2 linked regions of the Drosophila melanogaster genome follow. The protein of the gene in region 1 interacts with the protein of each later gene in a pairwise test. Each region holds a gene or a part of one and is shown on either strand. Other genes may lie near its edges.

Region 1 (10,020 bases):
TCTAATATATTTGAACAGATGGCCAACTTTTGGCTCCGCTTTCTTTGAGGTGAAGCAAACCACCGAACCGAATTATCCCGAAATGCTATTGATAGCCATTAACAAACACGGCGTGAGTCTCATACATCCAGTGACCAAGGTGAGAACTATAAACTATATAAATCTATTACAATATAAACCAAGAACATGATACATTTTAAAACTTCAGGACATTTTGGTTACGCATCCATTTACACGCATCTCGAATTGGTCATCGGGCAATACATATTTCCACATGACCATCGGAAATCTGGTTAGGGGCTCGAAATTGTTATGTGAAACGTCGCTGGGCTACAAGATGGACGATCTGCTGACTTCATATATCTCGTTGATGTTGACCAATATGAACAAAAATCGAACCATTCGAGCCAACTAGTAAAACCTACACATAACGCAAAATATTTATAATAATTATAAATTACAATTGCAATAACTTATAAAAGCCTAGTACTTTATAGATTTAAATCATACTTAATACCCACCTCCCTTTATTCCAATTGCATTCCCTTCCCAGAGAATTCATTCCAATTTTGGTCTTGTTCAGCTATCGATTATACCAAACCAACTTGCAACTTTTGTTTTTAGTATTTGTATTTGTATAAATTTTTGCAATTACACGTTTAGGTATTCTTATGGCACATTCCGGTTAAATTATTAAATACAATGTTTTTGTATGAAGAAAAGGTCTTACATATTTTTAGATAAGCATTTGTATCTACACATATTGCATCTATATCTTTGTATATCCTAACTGCATATCTGTACTGATGACGTTTTGTATCAAATACATAGAAATGTTCAATTATTTAATAAATTATATACAAATTATGTGGTCTTTTTAATAGAATCGGATGGAAGGTAAGGTCATCTCATTGACCTGGATTAATGCAAATTTCATTTCGATCAACGGTTAGAAAATTATACTTCGGACACAAACAAACGTGCAAACACGTAGTTAAATGTCTTAAGTTCATTTCGTTTAGAAACAAACAAACGAACTTTGGACACTTAATAACACTTAACTTGAACAAATGCTTGTGACAAGTCTTGAAAATGGGTTCGTATAGAACAAACCAATCTATTTTAGACAAAAAATGCTGTGTAAGCACAAGTGTTAATAGTTCATTAAAGTCATTAATAAATAAAATAATTAGTCTTATATAAATATCTTTGTTAAGTAACAACAATGGAACTAAACAAGTTGAAGTAACGGTTACGACCGACCCCTATAAACTTTGAAAATCCGATCGATTTTGCCATCGATTTACCAATCTTGACCTACGGCTTTGGATTTACCGCGCATGGAAGGGAGTACGTGTCCAAAGTCTTGTGAATACAAATTTTTATAGGACTGGATTATATAGTTTCCCTTGATTTTCTTGCCTGACTCCCACGCCACCGATTTCCCACGCATTGTATTTTGCGAGAATTTCCATTTTTCCCCAGCGTGTGAAAAACGGCAGCAGTCGGCACGGCAAGCTAAAGACTAAAGACGACGGCAGGTAGACTTAGATTTTTCAAGATAATGAACTTTTTTAGTAGACGGTATGAGGTTGTGTAGCAGTCCTGAGAACTTTTAGAAATTGCTGTCTCCCCCTTTCTAAAAACGACCACAATCATCGCACTCGCCTATCCAAACAGTGGTGGAGAAAGAGGGCCTGGGGAAATGTGAAGGAATTGTTCATTAAAAATTCCAAACTAATTTCATATTCAGCTTCTTATAAGACGGCGACGACCTTAAGAGGTTGCAGTTCCAATTGCCAGAGCCAGAACTTTTGGTGGTGGTTTTTCCATCATAATGAACACAGGCGGCCGCCAGTAGTTTGATTCCTCACGCAACCAAAGTTCGTTGTTTAAGTCTTTCGTTCCCATCGCCCGGTGCAGTAAAATCTTAGGGGTTGCAGCCAAGTTCCTATTGGCTGACTCTGATAAGAAATATGTCTCCCAAGTGCAAGATGAGATTAAATGCTTGGCCAGCGCTCACCTTCTGATTCCGTCGAGCGGAAGTGAGCGATAATTAATTCAAAACTGCGAATCTTAATTTGTAAATCTGTAAAGACAGCAGCAGCAACGAATGCATAAATATTCAACAAAGGCAGTAAAAATTCTCACAGCAGCTCGGCAGCGGCTTTTTGGGCTGTGAGAATATTCTGCTCCTTAACTTGGCCAAAACGGAAACAATAGTGTTATATATCTATGTATATTTGCTTCTTAGCTTCGCGTTCAGCAATTCCAGACCAAACTATAATTAAAGTCGGCCCGTCCGAGGGGGTTGAGGCAAACCATCGTGGGAAGAGCTGCACTTGTTTTGTTTAAAAATATTCACACGATACTGGGTAATATTCCCACAGCAATTTAAGGCAACCAATCCTCCCCAGCGCTCCACCTTAGGCCACAGGAAAAATGGTGAACCAGAAGAATCACGCTAAACCAAAAACATAAGCTGACATGATTTGATTATTCTTTGTCATCATTTGGGATTTCTTTTTTTTATTTATGTTAGGCATTTCGCTTACACTTAAATAAATCGCTGTTTTGTCTTGTTGCGATTTTATTTTACAAAATATTTTATTGGGATTTTTAATGCTACGAATTTCCAAAGTTAATAAAAAAATGCAACAAAACTGTATGTACAGAAACAAATTTTTCCCTTTTTGACTTTGTCTTCGACTTTTTAGAAAGCTAAAGAGGGAAATGGAATGTTTTTGTAGCGTGGCTACTGGCTTGTGTATAATAAAAATTTCCGATGCATTTCGCAGTATTTTTTTTTTTCATTTAGATCTTTGGAAATTCATAGCAAAGAAAATCATAAATATTTCAACCGCATCTAAAAATCGTCTATAAACTTACATCAATTGTATATTTAACTAGAATTACATGTTTTGTGTAAAGGTATATTCATGCACATACAAATGTATGTATGTATGTCAGTGAGCTTTTCGAGTTATGTACAGAGTTTTATGTGTCATTTACAATTCTATTGGTTCCGAACTAGCACTAGATACATGTGTAAAGTATGATTCACTTTAGAGAGAAGGGGACACATTTTGGTTTACGTCACGAGGGGTTGAAAATTAGTATGAGAAAAATTGTCAATCTACAAACTAAGGTCTTCGATAAAAACTATAAATAACTTAGGATACATATGTGTGCGATGCAATAATCCTGCACTCAGGATAAGCCGCTACCATGACTATTCCATTGCACTTCTGAGATGGAGGGCAGAGCCTGATGCTGCTGCTGTTGTTGTTGCAAGCCACCGCCGGCTGCCGGCGATCCCGCATTGTTGCTGTTATTATTGTTGCTAATGCTAGTGATGTTATTATTGTTATTGTTCTGTCGCGCTCGCATCACATCCTCGGCCTGTGTATTGCAGTGCGGCCGAGGACCTGGTTCAGGTGTATACGTGAAGGTCAGACCGGTGGCATAAATTATTCCATCGTTGCGCACCAGCGAAATGGGCACCTGCGTGGGCTGACGTACCTGCAAGGACCATTAAAAGTAAAATTTATAGCGCGTATTAAACAGATTTACATTGGAAAACCTACCCAAAGCCATTCGCCTCGAAATTGTGAAATCTCCGGCACCACGCATAGCAATGTCTCTGTGCAGCGGTACATGGTTTCCGCCTCCACATCGCCAAACCACACCTGCAGATGCGGCGTAAAGTTGTCGCCACTCAGCTCTAGCATGGCCACATCCCCGCCGCCATTGAGATTAAGGGAATTAACGATTGGCACTGGAGTGACTGGAGAACTGGAAGAAAACACGAAATGAAAACTAATCCATTGAGTTGTAAGTAAGCTATACTTACGCCACAGGACCCATGCCCTCGTAGAACTGGTACTCAGCCTTGTCGGTGGATATGATGGTCCAGCAGGCGCCGTCATTGATCATCTCCTTGTTCGGCTCCTTGGGGCACGGCGTGGCCTGGAACTGTATGATTTTCTCCTGCGACAAACAGAGATACATCCGATCCGTATCCTTCATGTAGAAGGCGCATTTGTGCAGCTGAGAAACGGGATCGTCGGCTTCCAGCAGGGCCATCTGCTTGTCTACCTTCCGGATGATCAGACGTGGCAGGGCCATGCCCGTTACGGAGCACACCAGTTTGACTGTGGCTCCGTAATGAATGTAACCATCGCGCACCTGAAACTCCTCCGACTCGGACTCATTGTCATCCAGCAGGTGTATCGTAAAAGCTCCCCATTGTGTTGACGACGCATGAAAGTGTCCGTTCTCCACGTGAAGGTAACGGGTGGAGACAGTCTGGGAACGCAGGCGATTGAACAGGGCTACATTGGTGCCGCTGGCTATGCACAGATCGGCATTCTTTAGCGACTGTTTCTTTTTGGACGGCTTGGATATAACCTTGATCCGTTTCGAGTTAAAAACGCCAATGTCATGACCGTTTCCGTAAAACATCTTCACCGACAGCATAAAGTGTTTTCGCTTGTCCGAGTCCGAGATGAAGAGCGTCTTGGCCGCACAGTACTGCTTGCCATTGAGATCCAGCTGCTGCATATCCTGGTCACTGCTCCCGATACCGATGAACGCGCATAGTTGTGCTCCCTGTTCGCCCTCGCCCTGCTGCAACATCTCCTCGTACCGCCGGCGCCAGCCACTTCCGAACAGATAAATGCACGGCGGTGGGCAAAAGAATCGCTTCTCATTGCCATAGGACTTTTGGGCCACCTGGAATTCACACAGACAGACAGACAGAGGCGCACGATGGTGCAGGGAAAATTCAATTAGTACAAATTGCCGTCCAGATTATCGGAAAATCATATCAAAACCGCAAGCAATGCAGCTTTGTTAATTTTCTGTAATTAATTTCAATTATTTTCATTGCGGACTGGACCGCGCTCGCGTTGCTCAATTTGCGGGCAGTCGAGTGTGAAGGATTCCCATTTGGCGGCAGTCGTCGCTTGAAGATCGCCACCGCTAAAAGCAACCGCGACAATTTTATTCCATTTTCATGTCTGCGTTCGCCAAAAACCGCAAAAATGTAACACTTTAAAGTGGACAATGGAAACACTAGCACCTTTAAATAGTGGGTGTGGTTTTGGCGTTGCGGACTGACCGATTAGATTAAAACTAAATTATAAAAAAAAAATAAATATCTTGTAAAGCATACAAGTAATTTTCAAAGAAAGGATACATCGTTAAACTTGAAATAGAAAGAAAATCTGAATTTAATCTATTTAATCTAAAAAATCGAATAATTTAGGAAATCGACGTACAAAACTGACCAAGTTTCTAATTTAAATGAAAGTTAGGATATCCTACGTTTCTCCAGTTTGGGTTAATATATTTTTAGTAATATTGAAATAATGTATTTCAAGCTTCAAATAATTTAATTAAGACTTAAGACTCAGGAGTTCCCTTGTATGTTTTAGAATATCTTGAATACTAAATCCAGACCAAGCACCTGATAATACCGGCTTAAAAGTGGAAATCCTTTCGTACCTTGGCGTGCAGGATAACGATGACCATGTCGTTGCGCTCGCGCATGTACTTCTCCATGGCGTCCCGCGTGAGCTTCTTCTCCTCGATGTGTGGCCGGTAAGGACCCGGCAGCAAGGACATCTGCATTTGTTGTTGATGCTGCTGTTGTTGTTGTTGTTGTTGCTGCTGCTGCTGCTGTTGGTGGTGCACTTGCAATTGTTGTTGCTGCTGCTGCGACGACGGCGGCTGCGGACCGGGCAGTCCAAAGTGCGGCATATCCTGGCTCTGTTGTTGCTGCTGCTGGTGAGGATCGAGGGGTGAGCCGTTGGGATTTACAACCGTAGTTTCGTAGGCAATGGCGGGCGGGGCGGCGGCGTTTAAATTAAATTGGCTGTAGCTCTTCATTTATGCACATGTCTCCTTGCATTGAACTTATTGGAATTTTGTTTGGATCTTTTCTATTATTTCGTTTTTGGCTATTTGGCAAATTCGTTTGGCACTTTATACACTGTTCGCTGGTGCTGTTTTTGTTGTTGTTGTTGCTGCTGTATGTTTTCTATTTTGTTATCCTGCTGCACAAACACACACGCAGAGCAGCTGTCGTTTCTCTCACGCACTCTCTTCCTCTTAACCGCGGATTGGCTTTGTTGTTGTAGCTCAAGCTGGATTTGCGGCTAGCTGCGATTCACGACTAATCACACATATTTCAGCGTTTCGAGCAGATCTTGACTAGCGACTAGCGGTAGTGGCGGCTGGCTTCTGTTTAAGGCTGCAACTAGCGCTCGAGTTATATTTATAATATGCTACAACTAAAAAAGCGACTGAGGATGTTGATGTTGTATCGATAGTCCGATAGGCGCTTATTTATGATAGTCGCTGCCTACCGGCGATATGTTTGTCGCTTCACAGCACTGTTGGTTGGATTTGGATGGCAGTGGGCATTTGGTTATTTTATAGCCAATTTGGAGTAGCTAATATATTTTGTTTTAACTTTGCAGTTTCTGAATACATTTGTATATTTATTCCCATCACATCACTGTTAAAGATATTATTTCTTATATCTATAAATACTTTTAACTGATGCGAAAGGTATCGATTTTCATTGAACACTTCGATTTTGAGCGCCCACATTTAAAATTCAAGGTACAAACTACCAACCTTCTTGTCTAACTGTCCATGCATTTTTAAAACGGGCCGTGGGAAAGTACACATGGGTGAATTTAAAAGATAATTCGCGACTTTAGGCTTAAATGTAACCGTTTAAATAGGTTTAGTGGCAGAAACACACAATATGCAACTAAAAGCTGTTAATTATGTATCAGAATGTAAGCTGTAACTCATTAAAAAACGAATCTGGTGGAGTACACTTAGTTATTCATATATTTTAGCAGTCACAGTGTAAAGTGGAAAAATCTACAATCACTGAATATCATTTGCAATCCGATAGGCAGGTACAATCGATATCACCGCTCGATTTTCGGTGCATTGCCATATCTAACTTGTGAAATCAAAAATCGGTTCCGTTCGGTGCTTGAACTTTTGAGATATTCTAGAAACACATCCACAATGGAGAACTTTAAGGGTCTACAAAAATCCCTATACATATGGACGGACAGCGCCGACTTGGACAAGCGCGTGGAGCAACTAAAGGCGGCCACTGGCGGCGATGTGGCTTTGGAAAATGTGCACCGCCTTTCGTTTTGTAAGTTGCGTGCGGTGCGGTGTGTGTGTGCTGTTTTTGACTAGCCAGTGAGTCAGCAGATTAAAATCAGTGATGTTTATGCATTACAGCTTCCTATGCCAACTCCAGTTTCGACCTGATTGTGATCGAGTGCGCCCAGCTGACCGACAGTTACGTAAAACTGCTGCACATGCTGAAACCGAGTGGCAAACTGCATTTGGTGTCCTACATCGGTCCGGCGGCTAGTTTGCTGCAGGAGATCAAGCTATCCGGATTCATAAACTGTCGCGAGGACTCTCCAGATGCTTTGACCGCCGAGAAGCCTGGCTACGAGACAGGATCCTCAGCCAGGTTGTCATTCGCAAAGAAGAACGCCAGTGCAGTCAATGTGTGGAAGATAAGCGGTGACGATGAGGAACTGATCGATGAGGAGGAGCTGCTGGACGAGGAAGACAAACAGAAGCCGGATCCGGCTGGTCTGCGTGTCTGTAGCACCACGGGCAAGCGCAAGGCGTGCAAAAACTGCTCCTGCGGGCTGGCCGAGGAATTGGAGACTGAAAAACAGAGCCAGAAGGCCACCGAGAATGCCAAGTCAAGCTGTGGAAATGTGAGTTCTCTTAACCCCGATGTGAGTTAGCATTAACCTCGATTATAACTGATTTCTTATATGCACAGTGTTATCTCGGCGACGCCTTCCGCTGCTCCACTTGCCCCTATTTGGGCATGCCCGCCTTTAAGCCCGGTGAGAAGGTGCAACTGGCCGACAACCTCCTGAAATCCGACATTTAACTTAGGCTCACCATGGTATACCCAATCAATCACATTTCAAATAGTTTATTAAGCTGACTTACTAACAAACAATAATGTCATAATGTAAATACAAAAATGCACCGCGTCATAAACACAGCATGTAGATTTAAATATCCAAGTGATCACATTTCGCATGGTGTACCCTTGATGAGATCGCGGTTCTGGCCCATCAAAATACGATAGTTGACGGCCGAGGGATCGAGTTCCTTGTACAAATATGTCGGCATCTTGTCGGACAGCACCCAAATAGTGCCTTCATTGTCGATTTTCATGTCATTTGGAAAGACCAGAGTGTGCGAATCGGAATCGATTAGCCCCTGGGTGTCCGGAGTGTATGGACGCTTGATGTTCCAACAAGCAATGGCGTCTTTGTTCACCTGCGTATAGAAGATGACGCCGGTCTCGGGGTCAAAGACCTCGGCGGTGGACTGGCCATTCATGCCACGGTCACCAACGTATTTAAAATCGTAATACGAATCGCCAGCGGTCACGTGTGATTCGTTTTGCAGCACGCGGTTCGAAACCTTGAACTCCTTGGTACTGGCCAGGGCATGGAAATAAATGTCCTTGGAGTGATCTGGATTCATTGGGCCCACGGCCAGCCCAAAAACGCCATCCGTCCACTGGAAGTTCACGCCGCCCACATTGAAATCACCATGCAGAGGATCGAAGTGGAAGAAGTTGTGCTTGACGCGGTAGGATTTGTCGTTCCTCAGGGAGTACACAATCACACCGTAGGCACCCAAATCCGGAATGTAAGCAAAGGCATCTTGGCACTCCGAGCGGTCCGCATCCACAACCTAAATATTGATTAATTCGATCAGTTTGGAATTTAAATAATACGCCTATGCATACTCACAATATTCGCAAAGAACGAGTCCTCTTTGGTCTGATCAGCGGGAATGGTGAAACGGCGCAGTAAAGTATCTGTTTTCAAGTCGAAAACCAGGATTGAATTGGGCGTAATCTGCTTGGGACTGCCCAGGATGTCGGCCAAGCCAGTATCGAGCACCCACAGGCGATCGCATACGTCGACTTGAATTCGGAAGGTGGAAATGACAGTGGAGTTGTCCTTCAGCTGGATGCCGGCATCTTGAGCCTTGTCCGCGTCCAGACGTCCACCGGATGGTGTCTTTTGGTCCTGTGGCTGCACATCGATGGGCAGCTTGTTGGCCTCCCAACTGGGATACGGATGCAGCTTTGGCGACTTCTCCGTCGAATTAATGTCGATGTAGTTGAGTGTGGCAGCAACACCAGCCTTCCATCTAAAGGGAAAGTAGATCATTTAATAATGAGGAGAAATAAATTAACTAAAAAATTTACATTTCAGACTTGTTTAGTTACTAATTACATTTAAACCTGACACTGGCAAGTAACAAATTAATAACATTAAAAAGTACCATTCACCTGCGCAATTATTATGACTGATTGGATATAGTCTAATATAAGCTATAGTTTTAATTTATATCTTAGCACTATCAGTTAAAACTTTGACGGCAACTATAGCTTAAATAATTATGCTGTATTATCAACAAAATATACTTTTTTTACGTATCTTATTTTTCGAAATGTTTTTAAATCGAATTTTGTTTTGATTACTCATATCTCCCGAAAAGCAGAATGGTTTTCGGGGCTTTTTGGCCAATAAGCGCATCGGTGGTAAATCCCAAAAAGGTGACGTCACAAAGACTTTGTTTACTAGTTACCTAGTTAGCCTTTTATGGGATCCATAATATTCCATAGAATTTTCCGATCATGTGTTTTCTCTTATTAATTTATAATTAACCTCATGTTACGATTTGCATTTAGAAACCACGATTTAAAATGCAAAATAGACATACACAAATGGGGTAAAAAATGATAAAGTTAACTAGCCAGCGAGGAAACCGGTTTCCCCTCCTGACGCTCGATGATTTTGCAAGTCTAGCTTGACATTTAATTACAAACCAAGCCAACAAAAAAGGTAAATAATAAGAAAAAAAAAGAAAACCTAACTACAGCTTACCGTAAGTTTGTTGTCTCTTTTTTTTTTGTCTATGAAT
Region 2 (6,863 bases), on another chromosome or scaffold:
CACGTTTGATGTTGTAGATACATTCTGTTCATGTTGTTGCCGCTGCCGCGACGCAAGTACAACGGAAAACGACGAGCAAGTACAAATACGAGTACGAGTACGAGTACGAGAGTATCTCTCGGGTTTTTCGGACGTGGACGTACGAGTATCTGGTCATGAGTATCTGGTTCCGCGACGCCACTCAGCACGTTCATTATGGCATTTTGTCAGAAACAAATTTCAGAGTCGCTCTCGCCCCGAAAGTGTGCCTGTATCTGAATCCGTGTCCGTATCTGTATCTGATGTATCTGTATCTGTGCTTCTGCCGTTGCTGTTGCCCCTGTTGTTGCTGCTGCTGCTGCTGCTGCGGTTTGTTGCGCGATAAGCATACGGATATGTCAGTTAATTATTTGTTTATATTTCATATTGCCTCGCTCTCTTAAACTGTACATACTCACTCGCCCCGTTCGTTCATGTGCGATGTACACATTTCGTCGCCATCGATACGCGTTTATGTGGTCTAGACTTTAGAGTCTAGACTCTAGAGCTAGAGGGGCTCTACATAAAGAGTGCTATAGCTAGATGTGTATATGGGCACATCTGTATCGTACATTTCGCATATGATTTTCTGCTGATTAAGGCAAAAGCAAACACACCCGGTCCACAAGCCACTGGAGTCTGCTTGATCGCACTGTATGCGATTGGTTCCAAAATGGGTGCGATGCCTCATGTTCAAAAACCTCTCAAGATTACTTTATACACAAGAACGTGTGTGATCTTACAGTTTTAACTTGAGTTGAATAGGTTTTATTAATAGGTTTTCTTTTGTAAAGTAATCCTTTTATTTTATGGTATCGTTTCAATTGATATCGACGTGCTTGTAAATATTATTAATTATATTACATGGTTACGAACGTAGAAAAACAAGAAACAAATCCTAACCTTATACGAAATGAATACTGCGATTTGAAGAAATGCGCATATATATTTCCCGGCTATCAATTTCAAATAAAACTTTCAGTACCAGGAGCCACAAATGCTTAAGTAAATTGATATCCGCAACTTTGGTCGAAGTAGCAAGTGCAGCTGGCACCACGAATGTTGCCGCGGCAGCAACATTCGCGGCAACATTTACAGCAGCGCAGCAGCAGCCAGAGATGCAGTGGCAGCAACAGCGGCAACATGTACAGCGGCAACAGCAGCAAGTTGTGGCAGCAGCGAAACAGGCGATAAGGAAGAAAGCATAGGCGGCCAATGCGAATGGGGGAAAATGGCTGGAAAACCGGTGCAGAAATGCCAGTCGCCGTCGCCATCGTCTGTGCCTGCGTCTCGGGCTTTCGCGAAAGATTCGCTTGAGTGTTGCTGGTGCAACAACTTGCAACATGCGGCCACTGCACACAATCGTGCGGTGAATGCAGCTGAGCGCCTGCTACAATGCAGCGACCGAACACCTGGAATGGGGCATCCACTTTCGGGATAGCCCGGACTATCCAGCCACAGACACAGCTCCAGCTGCAGCGCCATCCGAAAGAGTCCCATCGTCAACACCCCTCCCCAAAATACGATTCCCAAGTTCCATCTGCACTCGCATTCCCAGTGTCTCAGGTTGCGATTGCCCGCTTTTGAGGGCTGTTTTGCGGCAGCAGGGATGTTTCACTCGAGGGTTGGGATTCCAGATATATTGGGTATTGGGCCCAAAGCCCAAGCACACGAAACGAAAAATAAAACAGCAAACTGTGGGTGAGGCCGCGCTGCTGCACAGGAGAAAAACCCGAAAAAACAAGCGTACAACAAAAGCTCAGCCAAAGCGGAAACCTGTTTTGGCCATCGAGCAAAGTGAGTTGAGTGAGCAAAGAGTTAAGTTGAGCAGCAGCATTGACCCCAACTGACTCAACGACAAAATATGCCACAGAAAAGGACGGCATTAGAGCGTCGAACAGAGATGGCAGACGCACAGAAGGAGATGGAGTTGAAGACTGGAGCCTCGGGAGATCTCTCGTATCCGAATAAATGCAGAACATGGTGCGAAATATTTAATACAAAAATGTTGAAAAGGAGTTTGGCCTGACAAAATAAAGCACCACACTAAACCATGTACAGTGAAATGTTGATAACTTAAACTGGGATTACTGCATATGTTATTCTTTGCATAAGCTGACCTTAGAAAAACATTACCCTGTTTCTTAAATGGAGAAAGTAATGGAGGAGCTTTTAAAAATTTCAACATCAACATATATATACTACAGTTATTTTTTATTTAATCAAATCCACAAATTCACACCCGGAATGAAATTTTTTTTATTTCAAGAATTTTAAGATTGAAATGGTATGCATTTATTTTCTTCTTATTGTAGTTTTTTAACTTAAGTGAAATAAGGCTTATGTTATATGGATTCAAAAATGAATGAATACAGGAAATTCCATGGCGCGCAGTTCGCGATACGGAGGCAAACCTGTAGCAGCCAACTGCAGCAGACGAAGCGAGGTGAGGCCAAGTAAACCTGTTTACAGTTCAAACTTCGCATTCGATATATTCGATGTGAACTCTTTTTTGTTGTGCCATAGTAGGTATGTTCGTCTGGCAGGTTCTGGGGCTGCTTCTTCTTGGCCAACCGAGTTGTTTTAAGCCACCTACGAAGTCGAAGCTTAGGCCGGGTTATCTTCAGCTTAATTGGGTCATTCACACGCGCCACTTGCTCGTCGATAGAGATGGATATACGGCTCCAGAGGGAGATAAAGATACAGCTGGAGACACTGCTGAAAAACACACACAACTTTTTCAGCCTAGCAACAACTTCCGGTGTCTCAAAGACGAAACGAACAAGAAACTAAAGACGAGGCATACATTACATGTTAGACCACTCGAAGACGTACATATGCGAAGACGGGGGCAAAACAAACGGCGGCGAACAGAGGGAGATACATGTATGTAAAAAAAAAAAAAGGAAAGGCAAATAATACTGTTTATCAAGTGATGAAAAGCATTTAAAATGTCGAGTATGCCAGGTATTGTGTTTAAATGCATGCCCTTCGTCGCATTTCGGTTGGAATGCATCTGATATTGGTAAGGAGAATGTTCAAAAGACATAAGCTGAATGCTGTTAATAATTTTAAAAATATTTAAGCAATAAATGCATATATTGCATAATGGCATTAAAACAAAAGGCAATACAGAATTCTTTATTTGAATATTTATTTTGATTTTTGGAGTTACAAAAAACTAACGATAATAATATAAGATGGAATGTTTCGTATACAAAATACAAATAATAAGATCCAAAAGAAATTTATAAATCAATCTTAAAAAACTCTTTAATATTCGAAAGAATTAAAATTCTTCTTTCCCCAAAAATATATATTGAAATATTTCTCGAATTGGTTTTAAAAAAGAAAATTCTAGTATCTTATAGATTGAAGTAACGAAACAACGGTAGATCTCTCCCACACTCAATCTTTTCTACCTACAAGGATCAAACGAAATCAAAGGATCAACGTTGAAGAAGAAGCAGAGAGAGAGAAAGAAAGAATCAAAGACAGGGCAAAAACAAAGTCATCAGTCCAAAGACAAAGGCAAATAAATGGAGAGACAAAAGAGACGGCCATAAAAACTCAACCGACAACTTCTGGATGTGCGAAAGGGACGGCAAGGGTAGAGCGAGAGGTGTGTGCATCCATCATTTTCTAGGCGATGCAAGCAAAAGCAATAGCAACAACCACAACAAACTGCAGTTTGGGCTTAGGAAATTATTTGGCAATTCCAAAGCCTCGAAAAACTGGTCTTGATCCATTTTTAAAAGCCGAGCTTTGACTCAAGCTCCCCTCAAACATAAAAACATCAATCATGCGAAGTTCTACACGAAAAGCGCTTCAAGGTCTTATCAACATGAGAAGAGAAAAAAAGGCATATGAAAACCCGAAATAGAACTGGTTTTGAAATGCAAAAAGCCACCCACACGAAACTAAAACGCTATAAACTAATTAGGCGATAAGAGACTTAACTTACTTACCCAGAAGCTGTGCTGATAATCCAACTTGATTTTGATTTCCTTTGATTTGCTATTTGCTATTTTCCATTTGTTATTACTGTTGTTATTTCAACTTAGCATTTATCCAATGCTTTGAATTTTAATCCAACTGCAACAACAACAAGAACGGCACAATTTTATTAGCTGGCCAATGCAACAACAATCAAAAGAGCAGAAACTCTCCGCTCTCCTCTCTCGATGTCTTCGTGTATGTGCAAAAATCAAAACAAAACACGGCAAAAACACTTATAACTCAAAGAGAGCGAATGAGAGAATGAGAAAGAGAGTGATCCGCTTTGCTTTTGTTTTAGTTTTTAGTGACTGCAACATGTTGAATGTGTTTACTCTTGCCCTAACGGTAAATGCTAGAGCTGCAGTTTAAAAATCCTCTGCTCGTCTCGAATTGAAAATCAAAAATTTACACGCGGCAATTTTCTTTTGCATCACAAAATCCACAATCACTCACACGCACACACAAACACACATATATATATATATATATATATATATATATATATATAAACGCACACCTTTAAAAAGGACGCTGTTGAGGGTTGCATTTTATGTTAAACATAATATTAATTATTTGCTTACTTTTATCTCACAATGCACTCTTAGAAATTTCCACTGTTATGTTATTCATGTGTTTGCATAAAACTGGAGAAATTAAACACGGTATCTCAACAAAAATAAAAGAAAGCCGCCAACAAAATCGGTTATGTTTGACTTCTTTTCACTTTGATATACACCTTAATTCATTTGCTTGTTCAATTAGCATGCACTCCTTAGTTATTTGGTACAGTGTATTTTTTACGAGAGTTCTCGACAATTTTCGAGCGCTAAAACAAAGAAACCGCGCTCGATGATAAAAACCGCGTCCGACTGCCGCTGTTTTTTTGTTGTTTTGAGAGGCGCTAGTGGTGGAACGATGGCTGGGAAAACATCGATAACGCTATCGATCAAGCGATTACTTATCCTTCTGTTGCTGACGATGTTTTCCAGTTGAATGTATGGCAGCACTGCTTATTTAGTCACAAAAATTATATTTGAATTAAAAAGCCGATTTTGTTATCAAGAAATAAATTTTGAAGTGAAAATGTTTTCCACAAATGTTTTAATTCATTAAGTGCCACTTGTCGCAATTAAGTAACTGAATAGGTTTTAAATAATAAGTAAATAAATATCATTGTTAAATATTTATAAATGAGCATTCATTTGCAGCTTTAAATAGATAAACATTTTACATATTTGTACATTGACATCACAAACATTTCAACTAAAATTTAAACTCGTATAACATTACGCTAAAGTATCGCTTAAATATTGGCTCGCATCCCTGGTACTCTTGTTACGTTACGTTATTCGGCAATTACATCAGTCTGGCAACTCTGGCCCTCACACACACTCAGTCGCCCCCCAAATGTATCGGAAACATGCAGCCGAGATAAAATAGTGAAAAACTAGTTACCAAACATAACCGATCAGTGCGGATAATAAGAATTGGCAATTCAAAATTAAATGGTAAACGAACGTCGGCGCGATTAATTAAACTCAACCATAGGAACGCGGAGAGAGTGGCCAGTGAAAGCCAGAACACTCTCTTTCGTCGGAGCGTCTGTGTGTGTGTGTGTTACGTGTGTGCGTATGTGTCTGTGTTGACAAAATACAACAAATCGCAGCGAAAACAGGAAGTGTACGAACGATAAAGCATAAGATTGCACATTTCGCATTAAAATAGGCGACAAAAACCCGGGGGCGCATGCAGATCCACACATTTCTGGCCCACTCACACTCACACAACGCAGATCAGGGGGCGTTTTTCTAGATCAGTGACCAAGTCTTATATGGCTTTATGTTTTGATGCTGCACTAAATATGGGTGAAACATCACGTCATTTATGCCACGCTCCTTCTCCAAAAACAAAGATCATGTTGATTTCACTGCATTTGAATATATATATATATATATACAATAGTTAATGTTCGTGTGCGTCATTCGCTCATCAGCTATATAGTATACGAGTGTTGTTATTGTGGATCGCTTTCGCATGTTAATGCTTTTGTGTGTTATTTTTTCCATTCCATTTTTTTTTTATCAAAGTTTCGCGCTATCGCCCAGTCAGCTCAGAAGCAGCCGCTCCCCAACTGAGAGCACAGAGAAACCAGCTCTGGCCACTTGCTCCTCCGGATCCGGCTCCTGCTCCTGTCCCCGATCCCCTCCCCCACCCGCCAAATCCTGATCCTGCTCCAAATGACTGACGGCGAACAGCAGGAGGCGCTGGTCAAGCGGGCCGAGGACGAGCGCGAGGACATCTTCCGGCGCTACGAACTCGGGCTGGATCCCAGCAATGTGGTGGACTCCTGGGAGAATCCCACCTTCGAGATCTACCACAGGACAGACAAGTGAGTAATATTAATCATTCGCCAGAAAAAATCCCAATAATGCCATTGATGCTCCCACAGATATGGCTTCTTGCACGACTCGCGGCTGCCGTCGACGCGTGATGCCCAGGAGGTGCATCGCAACAAGATTGAAATGGAGCGGGACAAAAAGTGGATGAAGATGCTAAATCAGTGGCCGCCGCCCCAGGATAAGCTGCACAAGCGCGTCTACAAGGGCATACCGGATCGCGTGCGTATGGTGGCCTGGAATAAGCTGCTCGACATCCAGCAATCGATAAACAACAATGCTGGCGTCTACCTCCGAATGCTGCAGCTGGCCAGGAAGTACTCCACGGAGACGCGACAAATCGATGCCGATGTGAATCGTCAGTTTCGCGACAATCTTGCCTTTCGCGAGCGCTACAGCGTAAAGCAGTGCTCGCTATTCAATGTGCTCAACGCCTATAGCATCTACAAC

What was found. Proteins that work in one complex are often made in the same cells at the same time.
Region 2: the proteins of Su(H) (region 1) and mam interact in a two-hybrid assay, tested with the Drosophila melanogaster proteins (6 studies listed by BioGRID).

Annotation. Positions count from the first base shown.
Region 1 is NT_033779.5:15,035,809-15,045,828, reverse strand, and holds Su(H) (suppressor of hairless), read right to left. Parts: upstream 6,342-10,020; 5' UTR 5,893-6,341; coding exon 5,509-5,892; intron 4,735-5,508; coding exon 3,854-4,734; intron 3,796-3,853; coding exon 3,588-3,795; intron 3,523-3,587; coding exon 3,211-3,522; 3' UTR 2,495-3,210; downstream 1-2,494. Other genes in the region: ck (crinkled), read left to right, coding at 19-139, 209-415; CIAPIN1 (cytokine induced apoptosis inhibitor 1), read left to right, coding at 7,054-7,189, 7,279-7,775, 7,844-7,957; yellow-c, read right to left, coding at 8,101-8,778, 8,838-9,243. UniProt on the Drosophila melanogaster protein: Transcriptional regulator that plays a central role in Notch signaling, a signaling pathway involved in cell-cell communication that regulates a broad spectrum of cell-fate determinations.
Region 2 is NT_033778.4:13,989,228-13,996,090, reverse strand, and holds the start of mam (mastermind), read right to left. Parts: upstream 4,889-6,863; 5' UTR 4,599-4,888; intron 4,114-4,598; 5' UTR 3,987-4,113; intron 1-3,986. Other genes in the region: RN-tre (uncharacterized protein), read left to right, coding at 6,255-6,406, 6,467-6,863.